2 linked regions of the Stegostoma tigrinum genome follow. The protein of the gene in region 2 interacts with the protein of the main gene of each other region in a pairwise test. Links are inferred from orthologs where the notes say so. Each region holds a gene or a part of one and is shown on either strand. Other genes may lie near its edges. The genes, in order: rho-related GTP-binding protein RhoB and map1aa.

The links.
Region 1: the proteins of map1aa (region 2) and rho-related GTP-binding protein RhoB interact in a two-hybrid assay, tested with the Homo sapiens proteins (2 studies listed by BioGRID and IntAct). The link is inferred for Stegostoma tigrinum from reciprocal best matches to the Homo sapiens genes MAP1A and RHOB.

The regions. Positions count from the first base shown.
Region 1 is NC_081357.1:125,691,343-125,700,569, reverse strand, and holds rho-related GTP-binding protein RhoB, read left to right. Parts: upstream 1-6,105; 5' UTR 6,106-6,246; coding exon 6,247-6,837; 3' UTR 6,838-7,935; downstream 7,936-9,227. UniProt on the Homo sapiens protein: Mediates apoptosis in neoplastically transformed cells after DNA damage. Not essential for development but affects cell adhesion and growth factor signaling in transformed cells. Plays a negative role in tumorigenesis as deletion causes tumor formation.
Region 2 is NC_081389.1:21,678,071-21,688,059, reverse strand, and holds the start of map1aa (microtubule-associated protein 1A), read right to left. Parts: upstream 4,227-9,989; 5' UTR 4,177-4,226; coding exon 3,966-4,176; intron 1-3,965. UniProt on the Homo sapiens protein: Structural protein involved in the filamentous cross-bridging between microtubules and other skeletal elements.

The sequences.
Region 1 (9,227 bases), on a different chromosome or scaffold from region 2:
CACCACTGATAGTTTAACTCTCCCCATATTATGTATCAGATTGGATCTTACCACTTTTTTTCTTCAGATGGCGCTCTTGCCGAATTTGACGTTTCTCTCGTAGCAGAAGTAATGTCCTACTCTGCTGAAATAGAAAAAAGCAGAAGTCTACTATTCCGCTTGTTGCAAAAGTAGTGTCCATGTTAAGAAACAAATTTATTGCAAACAGAGGTGTTAATCTTGGGATGAAGATATAGGCGTTCACATATATATATATAGTATATATCACAGGTCTGACTGAGATTGAAGGGGTGTGCTGTTTCCTTTTCTAGTCCTCTTTGTCTATTTACCATAGCAAATTTTAATCAAGTTGACGATACGGCCAAATATGTGGACCGTGTTAAAAACATATCAACCAGCTTTTAGTCAACAATGAATAACTGGTTAATTACCTTAATTAAACCTACTTAAATGTAAAGTTTATTGGCAGTTTTTATTCTGTAAATATATATACACCTATCCTTTCGAAATAAACTACCACACAAACGCAAGACTGATGATAAACGCGAAAATTAAAACTCTGTAGAGTTTGATTGTTAAAGTATGTTGCCCAAATAATGAAAAGTTAGAAATAAGATTATTCTGATTCTGAAATTATTCTGCACACACAAACCAATGGCAGCAAAATAGTTGTAGTTGGCTGGGGAAACACCTTCACTTCAGACGTTGGTGGTAGATTCCAATGAATCCTTTTAGAGAACCTCCATGAATGCTAAAGATAACTTTTGGTGGATTTTTAGTTCACACATTTTGATAAGAGGAATTGCAAAGAACTAAAGGGAAAGAAAGAGATCAATGTGCTGCTGATCTTCAGGTAGGTCAAAATCTCTCGCTGAATTCAAAACTACATTTCTATCCCACGCAAAAAGTGCCCATATCCTTGAAAGTTCTCCAGTCTGTATGACCCCACCTGAATTCCCTGCTCCTTGTAAGTGCAACATTATTTTTGTTGTATCCAGTGCCTTTTCCTTAGCAAACCACCCCCTGTGAAAAATATATACTGGGGAGACAACTATTCACTGAGAGCTGAAAGACACCTACAGCTTTCACCACTGCTAAGTATAGCAGTCAACAATTAAAGAACTGTGGCCTCAGGTTAAAAATCTAACATGTCATCATTTTTATTCCTGTCTCTACCAGTTAGCCTTTAAAAGAACTTATTACCTGAGTTTGCGTGTGTGATTGGTGTCATTTTTGGGGAGAAAGGATTAGTCAGCAAAAGAAAACTTTCTTTTCACTCAAGAAAGCCTTTATTTTGATCTACTAAATACATCTTTAATTAGTGTCAAATAGCTGCCTGATCAAAGAAATAAAAAATATGGGTTGCAATCAATCAAGCGGGGATTAAAAAGGGAGGAGCTGAGTTACCATTCTTCAGCTGGTCACAACAGGCTTGCATAACAAACTTGAGCAAATGAGTCTCACAACACTTCTGCTTCACACTAGCTACAGTGTGCAATGACACAAAGGGAAATTTAATACTGTAGTAAGTTCCAAGACAGCACACACATGTCAGTGTATCAGTTAACTCCAACATATGTTACAATAATTGCCACAACGTGCAAATTATGCATAGAGTCAGTGGGTCATCTTTGCCCATTGTTAGATGCAAGTGACACACATATTTTGTGCTTCCCTACTTGTAAAAATTTGCTTCCTTTTATCACTTCTTGCATTTTTTGGCACGTTGTTTCCATTATGAATCTTCTTTCTTCAGTTCTGTTCAAAAGTAGATCTGATTCACCACGTTATGATCATGTATTAAGCAAGAAAGCAGGTCCCGAATTCACCCAAGCCAGAACAAAGATCAAACCTAATGCCAGCAATATCAATCTGATTTGGACCTACTGTCCAACCAACTGAACCAACCAATCTCACAAGGGCTCTGAATTGCTGTAGCAACACATATTGTGACACACTGTGGTCCAGGCTGGTAGAGGTTCCAAATCTCTTCCCAGCACATGAGCGACCAGGAATCTGACCTATTCTTACCATCTACCATTTGTGTATGTTGCAAGGATTCACCATGCTATGTATACAACTTCCTTGGCTATCAAGTCCTGGAGTTGGACTTGAACATGAAGCTTCTGGATCAGAGGCAGGATTGCAACTGCTTCACTACAAGATTTATTATGAATTCACAAATTCTTATTTACAATTTCATAGACTTTGGAGAATCAGGGTTCTGATTAAAAATTTTCTGAAGATCTTATTAGTTGCCAGTTTTTTCTAAGCAACAAAATTAATAGCCTAAAATATTCAAAATTAGAAAAGAAATTGACATTTTCAGAATAATTGCAATTGTCTATTGAATTATCCTTTATTGCCTTCATTAAACTTTTCAACTGTCTCTTCAATAGTCTCTCCAAAAGCTTTGGCTTGCACTGCAAAAGCAGTGATTTCGTGAGCTGAATTTAAATTGAAAATACTATCTTAGGATTCATGTGCACCCTTCCGCAAGTTGTGCTGATAGAATATTTTTTCTTGAGGGTCTAATACTTTGCAGCCTTCCTTTGATGTTATTTTGAAAAAAAAGGATACTTCTCAAGATTTTATTGAGATAAAATTAAACCAAATGTGTTTTAACTAGAAAGCTTGTGAAAAACTGCATGTAAGAAACATTTTGACCATGCATTGAATAAACATCCGTTGTAGTTTAGATTGGATGATCATGGTGAGAGAAAAGGTGAGGTCATTCTGTTGCATTCTATGCATCTTGTACTAAGCAGTTTTTCAATTAGCAGATGAACATAAATGGTTTTGAATAGGCATATCTTGTTCTTTCCGGTGACTTTAATTGTTTAACATGTTCAAATGTGAATGGTACACTTCCTTTCACCTTAGAGCAATAGTTATGTTTGCTCATTTGCTCATGTTTACAGACATAACCCTCAAACAATGCACTGCTAAATATGCTGCATCTTCAGGCTCAGAGGTTTGGCAAGAGTTGGTGCAGAAAGAAGCAGGGAAAATTTATAACACTTTCTCTTCACTCTGATATACAAGCAATGGTGGTACATTTTCATCTGATTGTTACCATCGTGTGCTGTGTTTCTCAACAAAGTAAGATTTGCCAAATGTTCTTGTACTGATATTGTTTGGAATTATCTGAATGAACTGCTGAAAAGTACTAACAAGTCTCTGGATCTGAAATGTAAAGTATTTTAAGTTTGATCCTAAAAGTTTAGAGATTTATTTTCATTTTACGGCATTTCAACTTTAATTATTTGAAACAAAGCAAAATGTGACCAACAAAATAGTCTATGACTACGTCAAACAAATGATGAGTCATTCAAAATCAACAGAGACTGACTTTTTCAAATTATTTCACATTGGTATTCCTTGGAGGCAGTCGAGAGGGGAAAATTCCAATGTATTCTCAAAGCAGATGTACTCAGACTTCACAACCGATAAATCATAGTTGAATATTTAACTAACTGAATTTGTCTCTTGTCTCTACTTAGAAATCCTAGCTCCAGCTTCAGGTTTATTGATATCCTAACTATACAACAACAGTTTGCAGTTGATAACTTTCACTATTCACAGTTAGTCCTTGGGAGGTGATGTCTATGGAAACCCCAGACTAAGTGAGAGTGGGGAATCATAATCTACAGTGAATACTTTTACAATGAAAATAAATAAAAACAAACGAATAAATACATTTAATTAAATTCCAGACTAATTACGCATGCAATGATGGAGTTTCATTCAATTCTCTGACTAAAATGTTAGCCACTGCACACATTGCATTGAGAATGCTCCATTCAGGGTAAATAATTATCATGCGAGACATGGAGCTGAAATAAAGTGGGAAATCGAGTCTGCATTTCTAACCATCCCATCTAAGCACAGTTGATAATAAACACTCTCCATTGCTATTTTAAAATCTGTTTAGCCATTGACTGTGTTTCACCAAGGTGTAAGCAGCTTGAAATAATTTCGGTTTATGTTCATGGGCTGTAGCAGTTTGTGGAAAGTAACTGGTGTCGTTCATTGTGAAGTGATGCTACCCCAGTCCAACTCAAACATAACATAAACTTGAGTTCCATAACACTGACATCTTGAGCATGCTTTACATGCACATGACTTACTATCATTTACACAATGCAGGGATGAAACAAAAACATCTGGCATTGCAAAAATCATTTTTTTTCTGAATAAACTAAACAAAGAACTCCAGATGCTGAAGGTCTCAAACAGAAACAGAAATTGCTGGAGAAACTCAGCCGGTCTGGCATAAGAAAACTGAATTAATGATTTGAGTCCAGTGATCCACCAACAAAACTGTTAGCGGACAACAGGAAAGTGGTATTTATGCTAAAGTTAATGTTGAGGGAGGGGGTGGGGAAGGGGAAAGGTGAACAGCTAGGTGCAGGTGGAGCCCAGAATGAGAAAAATATGAAAGGGGGTAGATAAACAAGGAGATTACGGAAATCAGGCCAGGATAGAAGAACAGCTGAATAAGTGACAATAAGGGCTTAGTGTAGGAGAGAATTGGTATAATGTACTGAATGCAATGCATAGAATGTGATATTGAGCCCAGGAGTACATGAGAATGGGTGACTGTGCTAAAAGCAATGTCTATCATAACCAGATTCAGTGTGAAGTTTGGTTAAAAAAAATACATGGAAGGATGGAATCAGGTTCTGAAGCTAATGAACTCCATGCTGAGTCCTACAGGCTGCAGAATTTCCAAGTGGAAAATGAGGTGTTGTTCTTTGAGCATGGGTTGAGTTTCACTGGAGCACTGCAGCAACCCGAGACAGAGATGTTGGCCAGGGAACACAGTGGTGCATTGAAGTGACAGGAAACGGGAAGCTCAGAGTCATTTTTGCAGACAAAATGTAGGTGTTCCGTGAAGCACTCGCACTGTCAGTGTTTCTTCTCCCCGATGTAGATAAGACCACATTGTGAGCAGCCAATACAGTAGACTAGATTGAGTGAGGTGCAGGTAACTGCTGCTTCTGAAAACACATCAGCTCTGATGAAAACTAGACTCAGAACGTTAGTTTGCTCTCCCCACGGATGCTGTCTGACCCAGAGACAATAGGAACTGCAGATGCTGGAGAATCTGAGATAACAAGTTGTAGAGCTGGATGGGCGCGGCAGGCCAGGCAGCATCAGAGGAGCAGGAAAGCTGATGTTTCGGGCCTAGACCCTTCAGAATTTATTTTCTGAAGGGTCTAGGCCCGAAACGTCACTTGCTGCTCCTCGCTGTGTTCATCCACCTTTATACCTTGTTATCTGCTGTCTGACCCCGCTGCGACTTCCAGCATTTTATGTTTTCATACAGATTCCAGCATCTGCAGTAAATTCACTACTTCGGCTGGACCAAAACCAGCCCAGTTTGTCTCCTTCCACTACCGCACCACACAACCAGCCCAGCTCTTCTCCTCCACCCACTGCATCCCAAAACCAGTCCAGCCTGTCTCTGCCTCCCTAACCTGTTCTTCCTCTCACCTATCCTTCCTCCCACCCCAAGCCGCACCTCCATCTCCTACCTACTAACCTCATCCCACCTCCTTGACCTGTCCGTCTTCCCTGGGCTGACCTATCCCCTCCCAACCTCCCCACCTATACTCTCTCCACCTATCTTCTTTTCTCTCCATCTTCGGTCTGCCTCCCCCTCTCTCCCTATTTATTCCAGAACCCTCTCCCCATCCCCCTCTCTGATGAAGGGTCTAGGCCCGAAACGTCAGCTTTTGTGCTCCTGAGATGCTGCTGGGCCTGCTGTGTTCATCCAGCCTCATTTTATTATATTGGATTCTCCAGCATCTGCAGTTCCCATTATCACTTCGGCTGGAACGTGTGTTTGGGGCATTGGATGCTTTAAACTTCTTTGATGTAAAATGATATTGCTTCAAACGGTTTCTCCGCTGAGGAGAGATGAGTGGGAGTTTTTTTTCAATCGGCCACCCCCTCTTTGACTGCTCTCTCCTGCTGTCTGGGAGCACCTCCCCAACAGCCCGACTCCAATCAGTGAGCTCTTGCAGTCGATGAGCTCAGAGAGGAGCTTCCCATTGGATTGCTATATTTAGGAGGCAGCGCTACCCCTTTATAAAGGCAGCGCCGAAGCTGCAGCCCGGATCACACTGTATGAGTCAGTCGGTTGGTAGAGAGAGGGGGGGTCAATTGCACTCTAAAGCTCAGCGTTGCACCGATAGCTGCTGTTTGTGAAGCGGGTAGATACAGAGAGAAGTGGGGAGTATGGCTGCTATTCGGAAGAAGCTGGTGGTGGTGGGAGATGGAGCCTGCGGGAAGACCTGTCTCCTGATTGTCTTCAGCAAAGACGAGTTCCCCGAGGTCTATGTGCCGACTGTGTTTGAGAACTACGTGGCGGACATCGAGGTGGACGGGAAGCAGGTGGAGTTGGCTCTGTGGGACACGGCAGGCCAGGAGGACTACGACCGTCTGAGACCCCTCTCTTACCCGGACACCGATGTCATTCTGATGTGCTTCTCGGTGGACAGCCCGGACTCGCTGGAGAACATCCCCGAGAAGTGGGTGCCCGAAGTCAAACACTTCTGCCCCAACGTGCCCATCATTCTTGTGGCTAACAAGAAGGACCTGAGGAACGATGAGAACGTCAGGAACGAGCTGGCTCGAATGAAGCAGGAGCCGGTGAAGACCGAGGACGGCCGAGCCATGGCTGTCCGTATCGGAGCCTATGACTACCTGGAGTGTTCGGCTAAGACCAAGGAGGGGGTCCGGGAGGTGTTCGAGACGGCTACCCGGGCAGCCCTTCAGAAGAGAGCCCGACCCAGCACAGGCTGTACTAACTGCTGTTCCGTCTTATGATGCTGTTTACTACCGACTGACGCTCTCTGGGAAACCGAACTCTCATATTTATCACACTCTCTCTTCCCCCGTTTTGGACAGACTTCAATCGAGCGGGGGATGAGTCAACTGGGGAGTGAGGAGGGTTTTTTCTGGGGGGGGTGGAATGGGATGGGACAAGGTTCTCTCTCCTGAAGAGTCGATGGATCCACTGACTGGGGGGTGGGGTGGGGTTCGTTAAGCTCTTAACATCACATCACGTTGATTTTCGGCCAAGACTGGACCAGCGAACCCTTTTCCTGAGACTGTGTGCTGTGATGGGGCAGACTGGGACTGGAAATATGTCGTTGTTTGTGTGGTTTTTAATCTGTAAATTATCTGAGCATTTTTCACTCGCGAGAAAAGATTAGGACTCTTTGTCTTTAATGCCTCCTTGGTTCTATCTGGTAGACGGGAGGCAACAGAATGAGATCAAGCTTTGTCAAGGGGTTGGGGTGGATGGGGGTAGGGTACAGTCTCTATTCCTGGCTTCACTGTTTTTGGGGGTGGGGGCGCGGGAATGGTGTTAGATCGCACTGAGACTTGCTACAAGAACACGAGCCACTTCCTGCTCGGACACATTGCTGGACACTTCCTTCTCCCCCCCCCCCCCTCTCCCCCGCCCCCGAGTTGTTTTTTGGGGGTGGTGGCCGCGTATTGGTCTCCCTTACCATGTCCCTCTATCCAAGAATGACTGCTCTCAATGCCAAACCGTTCGAATTACTTTCTTATTTTGTAAAGTAAATACTGCTCTGGCATCTCACCCAAAAAAGTTTTGGGACATTTTAAAAAAAAAAATTGTTGAAGAATGAGAAGATGCATTTTCTGTGCTGACAGTGTTTCTTTCTAGAAGGGAAATGACAGCCCTTTTTAAAGAGGCTGAAAAGTGCATTTAATATTTTTGATACGTTTCCCAAGTGGGTACTGAGGTTGATCATTGTCTCAGTTTCAAAAAAAGACTAACGAAAAATGGCGAAGCTTGCAAGACGACGCGTTTGTTTACAGAATCCTATACTGAATTGTAAGCTGTGTACATCCATTTTCACGAAGGGAAATTATTAAATATAATCGGACCCCGTTCTTTTTGTATCTGGTTTGTAGTTATTTTGAATTTGCTGACGGGCAGAATGAGGTTTTTGTTTCAAACTTTACACCGGGTGTCTGCGCACTGTTCCTACACTTGTAACGAAGGGACCTTCACCTTTTGTTTTGCTGCCGTGAACAGACTGGGTGCGGGCAAAGTGCCTGTTTTTTTAAATCCCGAGCTCAAAATTGTAAGCGACCTACTGTTTTCTTTAAGCGGAGTCGGTCTTTGAAGAAATGGGTGCGGTCAGTTTTCTGCAGAGCCGATGCGCTCGGAGGTCTTTAAAAGAAGCCGCCTTACACACTCGACATGGCTTACTTGGAGTTTAGTGCCTTTTTATTTTCGGTGAATGTGTTCACTTGTGCGTTTAAAAATGAAGCATCACTTCCTCTGAATGCAAGCTTAACGATATTTTTACTGACTAAAATAATTGGCCTCGAGAAAACTGCTTTCATTGTAAACATTAAGCTCATGAGCAGTTAGATGGCATGCTGCGAAATGAACCAAGACTGTTGGGCGTAAAGCAAACAATTATCACCCGTTCTGTGTTGTTGAACAGTACAGATAACTGTTGTGGAGTACGGACTGCATTCAACTACTGATGCCCCTTCGTGACGACAGCGTCCCACCAGCCATGGGAGATGACTTTTATAGTAACTTGACCAAACTGTCATGGCAGGGGCTGTTAAATGGCTTGCTATTAAGTGTGGGTGATTGCCCCGTTCTTCCTCCCCACCCCATCAACTTTCCCCTGGTCTTCAATAGCTTTGGCTAAAATAGCCAGATAGAATTTAGCTGAAGTGCTACAACTGACTGGGACCACTACAGAAATTTTCTTACAGAATGCAAATAATTGTGCATCACTGTACAGTCATTTTTTTTTCAGTATGAATGGTTTTGAGTAACCTCTTTCAATGAGGGAAATGTTGCATTACCACTAACACTTTTTTCTTGGCTATATTTTCGATAGATTTCACTAATGTTCAGGCTATATGAAAATTGGGATGTTGGTAGATGCAATTTCACACTCTAAATTGCAGTTAGAAAATGATCTTGCCGAACATGCTGAGTTTTTCAGTAGTTTATTTTTGAAACCTTGTACTTTCCTCCTTTCAATTTTTTAAACTGCCTTCAATATTGCACATTAGTCTGTTTTGTTTTTCCTGGTGCTGCTGTCTTTTGATTCTTTAATTGTTCTGTTTAGTGACTTTTGGGGTGGGGGGGGGAAGTACCAACAGAATGATCTGTTTTGGTAAAGCAAGCACTAGAATTTTGCAACACTGAAAAT
Region 2 (9,989 bases):
CTTGGCTGACTCAATGTGCACTGAGGATTGAGCCTGCCTGGTCTGTTTAGCTAAATGTCACAGGGTTATTGTCCATTCCAAGAGGGACAAATCATGGCTCAATGTCTTAATAGTGCTACTCATTACTAGTTCCTCCCTAATAGTTCCAGACACAAAGATCACAGTTGCAATATAGAACTAAACTGGTGCACAATTCAATGCACACAAAATGCACCTCACGGGGCTGCACTGAATTTTTAAATTATTGATAGAAATTTCAGTGAGGGACCAATGTCCCTTAAAGAAGGTTACAAAAATAATTCTGAATAAGAGGAAAAATGGTGGTTAGGTAAGTTTTGAACTAATGCAATAAGGCTGCTGCCTCCAATAATCAGCCGTTGTTACTCATATGAATCAGACTTTAAAACGTCAGTTCAAATCCAACCCCAGAGACTTTCTTCAGTTCATGCAGGCTGATTCACCTGGTATAAAAGAAAAACACTGCAGATGCTGGAAATCTAAAATGAAGTAAAAACAGGGAATGTTGGAGAAACCCAACAAGTCTGACAGCATCTGTGGAGAGAAAAAAAGTTACCATTTCAGTCCAGTTCTGTAGAAAGGTCATCCTGGACTTGAAACATTAACTATTTCTCTCCACAGACACAACCACACCTGCTGAGTTTCTCCAGCATTCTCTGATTTTCCTGGTGCTGCCTCTCAGATGAGATGTTAATTTTTTAGGCCCCCATTTGATGTCTCATGGGGATGTCAAAGATACCATGGTCATGGTTTGAGGACAAACAGGAGCTCACCATAATACATCAACTAATACTCATCCTTAACCAAACGTCATTCAAACTGATGATCTGGTTGTTATCATATCATTGTTCGCACATGTTGGCAGCCAAATTTCCTACGTTACGACAGGGACTGCACCTCAAAAGGACTTTACTACTCAGGTGAATTTGACGCATTGAGGAAGGCACTACATAAATGCATTCTTCTCTTTTCTTTAGTAATAGCCACAAATATTAAATGTTGGAAAAAGGGTGTCTCTGTCAGAACGCCACTGTTCTTTTTGGAAGTAAGGATTAATCACTGGCAGCAACCCCCGAACGTGTGGTGGGGTGGCACTGAGTGTACATCAGTTTCAGGAGTCAGCAAACCCCACTTTCCTGACTGGGTTTGGACAATGCAGCAGGAAGCAGCCTGGCCTGCCAAGTAGCAAACACTGACAAAACCAAGTCAGGGATGGTGCAGACCAACTGGCCCAAGTGGGGAGTTATTGGCCTCGTTGTGTTATCACTGAACTACTCCAGGGAACCAAGCAATGGTTTGGGGAAATCTGGGTTCAAATCTTGCCACAGCAGATGGTGGGAGTTCAATTCAATATATTTTTTAAAATCTGGAATTAAGAGTCTAATGAACAGGACTCCATTGTCAATTGTATGAAAAACCCATCTGGTTTGCTAATGACCTTTAGGGAAGGAAACTGTTGTCCTCATCTGATCTGGCCAACATGTAACTCCAGATTTATATCTGTGGTTGACTTTTAACTGCCCTCTAGAAAACTAGGGATGGGCAATAAATGTTGGCCCAGCAAGTGATGTCCTCATTTTGTGAATTTTTTTTAAAAAAAGCCTGGATTCTTATGGGGAATGTTGCAAATTCCGTGGGTGAAATGCCATGTTGGTTGATTGAAGACAAGATGATTGTAACCCCATATCATCTCGATCTTTGACTTTCAGTGTTTCACACTGGATTTTTAAGATGCCTTGATGTTTATCCTCACACAAATGCTGCAGAAAGCTCTGTGAGCCAGTCACAATGTAGCTCTTGTCTTCTGCTCAACATTGTTCTTTAACTGGTCAGTGTTCTCTGATAAGCCCAACACAGATAAAACTGTATTTTTTGGAAGTGCAGTTGAGACAAGTTATTCAATGTTTTGTTACAGATCTCCCACAACACAATTACTGACTCAGACTGACAGATGGAGCTGCAGATATGTTCAAGAGATTGTGCCCCTCCTGCAATGGATAAGGGAATGAGAGAACTCAGTATTTTCATATCAGGCTTGTGCCAGTGGTATTAAAGTGCAGCTTGCACAGTTTGCTGGGCCCCAAACTCTGGAATTCTCCCACTCTGATAGAACAGATTTAAAGGGGCTGAATAGACTCCTCCTTCTCCCCACCTTGGCTGCAGTTGGCAGGTCTGGTGTACAAGGGTTGTCCTGATGACACCACAAAGAATTCACAGCCCTGAATGCCAAGAAACGCAGTTTCTATCAACACTGACATATTCCTTCCTTAAGCCCTCTTATAGAGGCTGGGTCAGATTGTTCATTACCTTGGCATCTACATGCACTTAAATTTTCACATGTGAATGGATTGTTACCTTGTATGATTTCTTCCATTATGGAGAAGGTGCTTGTGCTCTGCACAGCATACAACAGGTTGCTGCATGAGCTGCAATTCCATGCAGCTTAGAGGGGTCACTGACATCCTAATTAACTCTGAGCTAATCATCTGACTCAATATCCTATCCATCACCATGCTCATTTCTACCTCTGTGGCATTGCTCAGACATCTGCCAACAAGTCTTGTTAAACCAGCAGCCTTGTGCTTACCGACCTGCACTGACTCAATTTTTGAGCCTTTTCTGGTCCCTTTCTCAATAATTCCCTCCAGCTCTATAACCCAGGATCCTCTAGTTCTGGCCTCTTGCAAGCTTGGAGGGCTGAACAGCCTATTCTTGCTTGTTAATCCCGGAGACTCCCTACTTTTATGCTCATTTAAGATATACCTCTTTAATTGAGCTTTAGGGCACCTCCCTAATATGTCCTTAAATGACACCATGTCAAATTATGTGTGATGAAGCATAGGGGAAATTTTATCCCTAGGATTTGGAACATGGGTTATGTCTCTCTCTTCAAATCCCAGAATATTAACACAGCCCCATGTGGGCCCTGCACGTATTAACCTGCTCCCGGGAGAGCCTGCCAATACTGACAGACTCCCACGTGAATACAGAGGTATTCTCTGGGACCTCTTGAAATACCAACATATTGCAGCAAATAGCAACATACACCCTGGGACCCTTGAAAATAGTGCTGCACATATTCTGACTCCTTCCCCAACTTGCAAAAGTCAGCGACCAAGGCCCAGAGGGAAAGCAGTTGAAATAAGATTATAAACAAGTTTGAGAACAGGATGAACACAGCAGGCCAGGCAGCAGCGGAGGAGCAGGGAAGCTGACGTTTCCGGTCTAGACCCTTCTTCAGATCTATCACTATCTCAGTTGAAATAAGTTTTTTTTATTAATTAGGAAACAGCTGTTAGAAGGTTCTGGTGACCAACACATCCAGGAACCTTATGGTAAATGGTGAGATATGTTGTGATTTAGCGTGCACAATATTCAAATCCTAAAGCCACGTGTAGCAGGACTGGAGTTACGGTTCTTGTGGTGCAGTGGTAGGGTCGCTACCTGGGTGGCCAGAAACTCCGGGTTCAAGTCCCATCTACTCCAGAGATGTTCAGTTGTATCATAATACATGTTGATTAAAAATAGCGGGGGTACCTTCATACTTTGAAACGCTTCAGTGATTTCAAGAGAGTTAGCAAACCTCCGCAACATTTCTCCAGAAAATGTCGCTCAAAGACAATGCTGGAAGGAGGAACAGGCGGCTGAAAAAGAGGAAGGGACGGAAGCTGCACCGCCTTCAACATCGTGGTGATGGGGAAAAAGAAGTTGAACTGTCACCAAAAAGTGAAAAATAATCTTATTTCAGCAAAACTTTCTATTTGCAACACGCTGGGATTAAGTGGCTGCCATTTAAATTGCATTGAAATAGCTTACAGGCAATAGAAATATTTTGATCTTCGAAACAAAATAGAATGCAGTTCGCCCAGTTCCAGACAGGTTCCGGTTGGAGCATTATCTTAATCATTTAATCCTTTCTTATTTTATTACTTGGGCGGTCTCCTCACCTTGTTCAACGTGGAGAATTGCTGATCTCAGTTGACTATCTGTGGCGATTTCTCCAACGACAATCAGAACGGAGTAAGTGTGCAGGTTGCACGGCGCTGGGGACTGCGGTCGCTGTCCGTGGTGCTGAACCTGATCCGGGGACTGCTCGGCCGCCGCCGCTCGCTGCTCCGGGGCAGCGGGGAGCATCGCTTCCCCGGCCGCCGTCGCCATCGCAACCACGCCAATCAAATCGCCAACACAACTACACCCTCTCCATCCACTCACACCTCCCAGAGCCTTCTTAAACAAGCTGAGACCCCGCTGGATTGGCTTGGGATCTTGACTGACATTCGGATGATGTCAACTGGGGCCAATCCCGAACGTCAGGAGCAGACGAAAGGTGGGATTTTAGGGAAGGGGTAGGCGAACTTACTAGAGAGAGAAGAGCACAACGCTTTTTTCAAAAAAAATTCTGCGACAGTGCAAGACTGGGCTGAAAATGGTGCAGTGTACGCGTGTATGGTGTTTTGCAACCATTCTATTCTACATCTTCGCATTAAAATCTATTGCAAATAAAACATTGTCAGTACAACAAAAAGCCTGGGTTGGATTGCAAGTTTTGGAGGTGATTAGGTCCCACATCCAATGTGCAGAGACAGTTAGTGTAGGATACATCAGATAGAGTGGCAAACCTGCATCATTTTATACCACTGAACGCTGTCCATTCCTTCATGCAGCAAACTACAAGGCATGGTGCATAGACCCCTCGCCCACGATAGAGGCTGAAGGGACCAAAAGGCTGAAATTGAAATAGATAATGCTGCAAATTGTAATGGCCAAGAGAGGAGTTCACAGATTCACACTATGTTTTAATCGGAATTAATAGAGGAGCATCGTTCACGTTGAGGATGTTAACCTGTGTCTACTTCAGAAGATACCTAACCAGCCATTCATTTCCAGAACCTCTGCTTTTGACAAATTGCAACACCCTGCAATTGTCCAATGCTCATTTCATGTATGTATTAGATTGAGGGGGAAAATCAGTGTTTTGAGAACAGCAGCAAAAGATGTTAAGCATCTTAAAGGTTAATGGGAGAGCTTGTTGACTTTGAAGTTAGGAGGGTAGTTTCCAATAACCAAAGCAATTGCCTTTTCAGAACCACATATATGATTGTCTATGGCAGATGCAAGTATAAAATTTACCCCAACAAAATTCATCCACCCATCCCAACTTCTCCCCATGAAATTCCTCAATCCACATCTGAACTCCTTCCCACACTCATGACATTGCTTCACCCATTTCAGATTCTCCCCGTTCCCCCCGTTACGGAAGACGTGTCAATAGCAGCATAAAGCTGGGAATTCATGTTAGCCTTCACTCTGAAATCTGGCTCTGGCTGGTGTTGGCACTGAATCGCAGCGTCTGCTGGTCACTAATCAAAGCATCATCAATCAGATCACATTGCCCCAGCTTTCTGCTGACACAATGTGAATCACTGTTGCATTTAATAATGCACTGTAGTTCTGGCTGAAGTGATAACAACTCACGGTTAGTAATAATTGTGCCTCTTATTCCCTTCGCTACGAACATTCTAGGAAACAAAAATTTGGAAAGTGGTCTTTGAGGATTTCCAGACATTGTGTTCATGACAAATTGACTGCTGTGGAATTGGACAGTGGCATTACAGAGTGCAATCCAGTAGATTTTGTACAGTGCTAGCCAAGTCTGAAGCAAGTGGTAGGAATAAGAGCACAGAATATTCCAGATCATTGGCTGTCGGTTCTCTCTATGATTCAGCATAAGTAGCTATTTCATTGACACATATTTAATTTTGCAGAGAATTCAGTTTCTTTCAGCACTTTCCCCTCCCCCTCTTTTTTCTTCTCATCTCCAAGTAACATAAGGTTTGTTGGATCTCCCTGTCCACATTTCCTCTCCCAATATCACTGGCCCATCCCCTTCAGATCCCTAAGGTTCCCATCCCCCCAGTGATCAGTCAGAATCAGTGGCAGCTGGGGAGGGAAATCACAGTAAAATCATGCAGCACTTACAGCAGAGATTAGTGGGTATCTCAAAATTCTTGGGGACCAACACACTGTCCCTTTCAATGTTTCCTATTCTGAAAATGTGATCAGACAAGTTGAGGCTGACATCCCAATGTGGCACTGATGGAGTGCTGCACTGTTGAAAATGCTATTTTTCAGATCAGATGTTAAGGAAGGGTCTAGGCCCGAAACGTCAGCCTTACTGCTCCTCTGATGCTACTTGGCCTGCTGTGTTCATCCAGTTCTACACCTTGTTATCTCAAAGTCTGCTCTCTCAGGCGGATGTGAAACTTTTAGAATAATGAGGCCTGGATAGAGTGGACATGGAGAAGATATTTCCACCAGTAGGAGAGGCTAGAACACAAGGACACAGCCTCAGAGTGAAGGTGCTGAGGGACATCCCTTGAGAAATGAGATGAGGGGGACTTTCTTCAGCCAGAAGGTACTCAATCTGTGGAACTCATTGCTACAGAAGGCTGGGAAGGCCAAATCATTGAATGTATTTAAGACACAGATCAATATGTTCGTGATTAATATAGAATTAAAAGTAATGGGGTGATAAAGATATTAGCCAAGATTGAATGGCAGAGCAGACTTGATGGGCCAAATGGCCCCATTCTGTTACTACATCTTATGGTCTTTGTGTAAGATCTGAAGGTGATTTTGGGAATAGGGCAGGAGAGGTCTCCCTGGGTTCCTTACCAATATTTGTTCTGCAGCCAACATTAAAAACAGATTTCCATGTTAATAATCCCATTGCTTTTTGTGGGGCCTTGCTGTGTACAAGTTAGATACCACTGACCTTCCCTCTTGGCAGTGCTACCTCGAGGCAATCTAAACATTTTTGAACAGGCTAAGTCTCACTTGATATTACAACACACGCCTTCAAAAGTGCTTGATTGACTGTGAAACACTTTGGGGACTCAGATTGTGAAAGTGATAGATAAATGCAATTCTCTCTTGCCAGCTACCTCAGTTAATACACAAATTCAATGGATACAGAGACCAATCCCACCAGCAACAGCAAATGGCCATCAACAAGATCAACCCATGGTAAGAGACTAAATGGGAGGTTGTGGCATGGTAGTAATGTCATTGGCTTAGAAATCCAGAAGCCCAGGCTAATCTTCTGGGGGCATGGTTTCAAATCCCACCATGGTTTGATCTAGAATCCTGGAATTAAAGAGATGGTTTAATGGTGACCCTGTTGCCACAGTCATTTTATAAAAAAAACTGGTTCATCAATGCCTTTTAGGGAAAGAATTCTGCTGGTCTGGCCTCCGTGACTCCAGGTCCACAGCAAGGCAGTTGACTCTTAGTTGCCCTCTGGGCAACAAGGGATTAGTAATTAATACAAGCCCAGTATGTGACAACCAGATCCTGTGAATGAATTAAAATATATATCAACTGCGGCAAGTAAAAGATTACACCAAGCCATGCACTTAGTGATGGAAACATTGAGGGAATTGCTTGAATCTTTTAAGTTAGAGGACTTAACACTAGTACTTAATTCCAACTGAATCATCAAGGATCAATTACATCTGGTCAGCCTATAGCAATATTAGGTTTCACTAAGCAATCCATTAACGCAAGGACAGCATTCATAAACTCCATATGTCTGCAATACCCTGCACTTCTGAGCATCTGATATCACTACTGCACTCTGATCCACTTCCCTCCTCCCCGAGGGGAATGTCACCTTCAGCACAAAGGTCAAGAGGAGAGGGCGAAATGACTTTGAGATGGATCAATCCATTGAGTGCCCCTATGATTTGTTAGAGGTTATTTAAGGCTCCTAAGAAGTTTGAGATGGCTGACTTAGGGAATATGTTCTTAGAAAAGGTGGGGTGGGGGGTGGGGCGGTCATAAATATACACAGTCACAACAAATCCGATAGGGAATTCAGCAGAAATTTCCTTACTCAGGGTGGTAAGAATGTGCTGATAGATAAATTTAAAGGGAAGTGGGACAAACAAGAGAAGGCGAGGAATCAAAGGATTTGTTGATAAAATAAGGTGGAAAAAGCCTGGTGTGGAACATATAAGCAAGCATAAATATGTTGTTAAGTAGCCTGTTTCTTGCTGTAAATATTGTCAAACAAACTTCAAGGATTTTGTTCACTCTGCAGCTGGGAGTGCTGCACTGTCAGATGCACAATCCTTCAGGAGAGATGTTAAGCCACATCTGTCCACTCATCTGGATGGGGCCACTCCAAAGAAAAGGGGCCTTCTCTCAGATGCCTTGCTCAATATTTAAACAAAATCACTGTAGCAGATTTTCTGGTCATCCACATGTCAGTATGTCCAACAGCATCACACTCCCACAGTAGTGCACTAGAGGACAGGCCTGGCTCATTCTCAAGTTGTTGAGGTGGAACTTGAGCTGTCACAAGATAAATTCATCAGCTTTCATATCAGTTACCTTCTGAGAAAGCAGCTTGTAATTAATAACACTGATTAAATAAAACTAGTGGATCTTTAGCCAGACTAATGTTGATCTCCATTGGTAGTTATGGTATAATAACTAGGAACTGATAAGGAGTAAAATTATAAGATCCATTGAATTCTTCTTCCACTGCCCTGAGTAATTTGATACAAATGATAATGGGAGTTATTGAAATAATCACAGTGATCAATCTCTATCAATAAGTCTACAACAGACACAGGCAGGAGGCAAGAAATGTTGGGGAGATTCAGGAACAATTGGCCCAAAGTCACCTACTTTTCCTGATCCTACTGCACCAACCAAATACTAATAGCTGCAACCCAAATTATAATTGCCTAAAGAATTTTTATTAATTCCATTTGAAACACTCAATCAATGCAATATGCTTCCACCATCTCCCCAGGGAACCTGTTTATAGATTGACCACTGACTCACTGAGATATTATTTCTGCAGCAAGGCTAAATTATGAAGAGAACTAACACAGAGGGTTGATTCCACAAGGAGAAACAGGTGCCTACATTTTGTTCAGCTTTCCGTTATCACCCCTGATCCCCCCACCCTTGCTGCTGGGGTACAGTTCTCAAGATGCTAAATGGTTAGAGAAGCAGGCATGGCAAAGGTTTAACATCTCATCTGATGAATGGCACTTCTGACAATGCAGCACACCCTCCATGCTGCTCAGATTCCTTGGGTGGGACTTGAACGCACACACACACTTCTGATTCAGCACATGATAGTCTTGTATACTACAACAGCACACTTTGCCTATCCTAACCTGGCAGCTGGGTGAAAGCTTTATTGAAGTTGAAGTCTATCACCTTGGCAGAAGATTAACTGATACTAATTCATCCAAGTAGCAGCAGTTTTAATTCAATGTAACGTAGTTACATCATGGAATGGGGGGAAAACATGGGGCAGGAATAAGGGGAGAAGCTAAAAACTTAGTTGCAGGGCCTCCAAATGCTGAGAAAGGGAGGTAGAGATTTCTTGGGCCAATATTTACTCTTGAAGGAACACCATGAAAAGAAAATGTTATTATCACATTACTCATTTACAATTTGTTCATGGGATGTGGGTGCTGCTAGGTCAGCATGAATTTTCATTCATAATTGCCCTGGAGAAGATGGTGAGCTACCTGCTCACTGAAGTCCTTGGGTTATAGGGACACCCGCAATGCTGTTAGGAGGGGAGTACTAGGACATGACCCAGCAACAGCAAAGGAACAGGGATATAATTTCAAGTCAGGATGGTGTGTGACTTGGAGGGGAATTTATAGGATGTGATGTTCCCATGTATCTGCTGCCCTTGTCCTTTTGGGTTTGAAGGTCATGGGTTTGATTTTGCTGTCAGACAGCCTTGGTGACTGATGTAGATGATACAAAAAACAAATTGCTGGAGAAACTTAGCACATTTGCCAGCATCTGTGGAGAGAAAGCAGAGTCAACATTTCAGGTTCAGTGACTCTGCATTAGAACAACAGTAGTGAGGAAAAGGTGGTATGTATGCTGAAGATGAGGGAAGGGTGGTCAGTATAAAGGAGTGAGAGGACAAG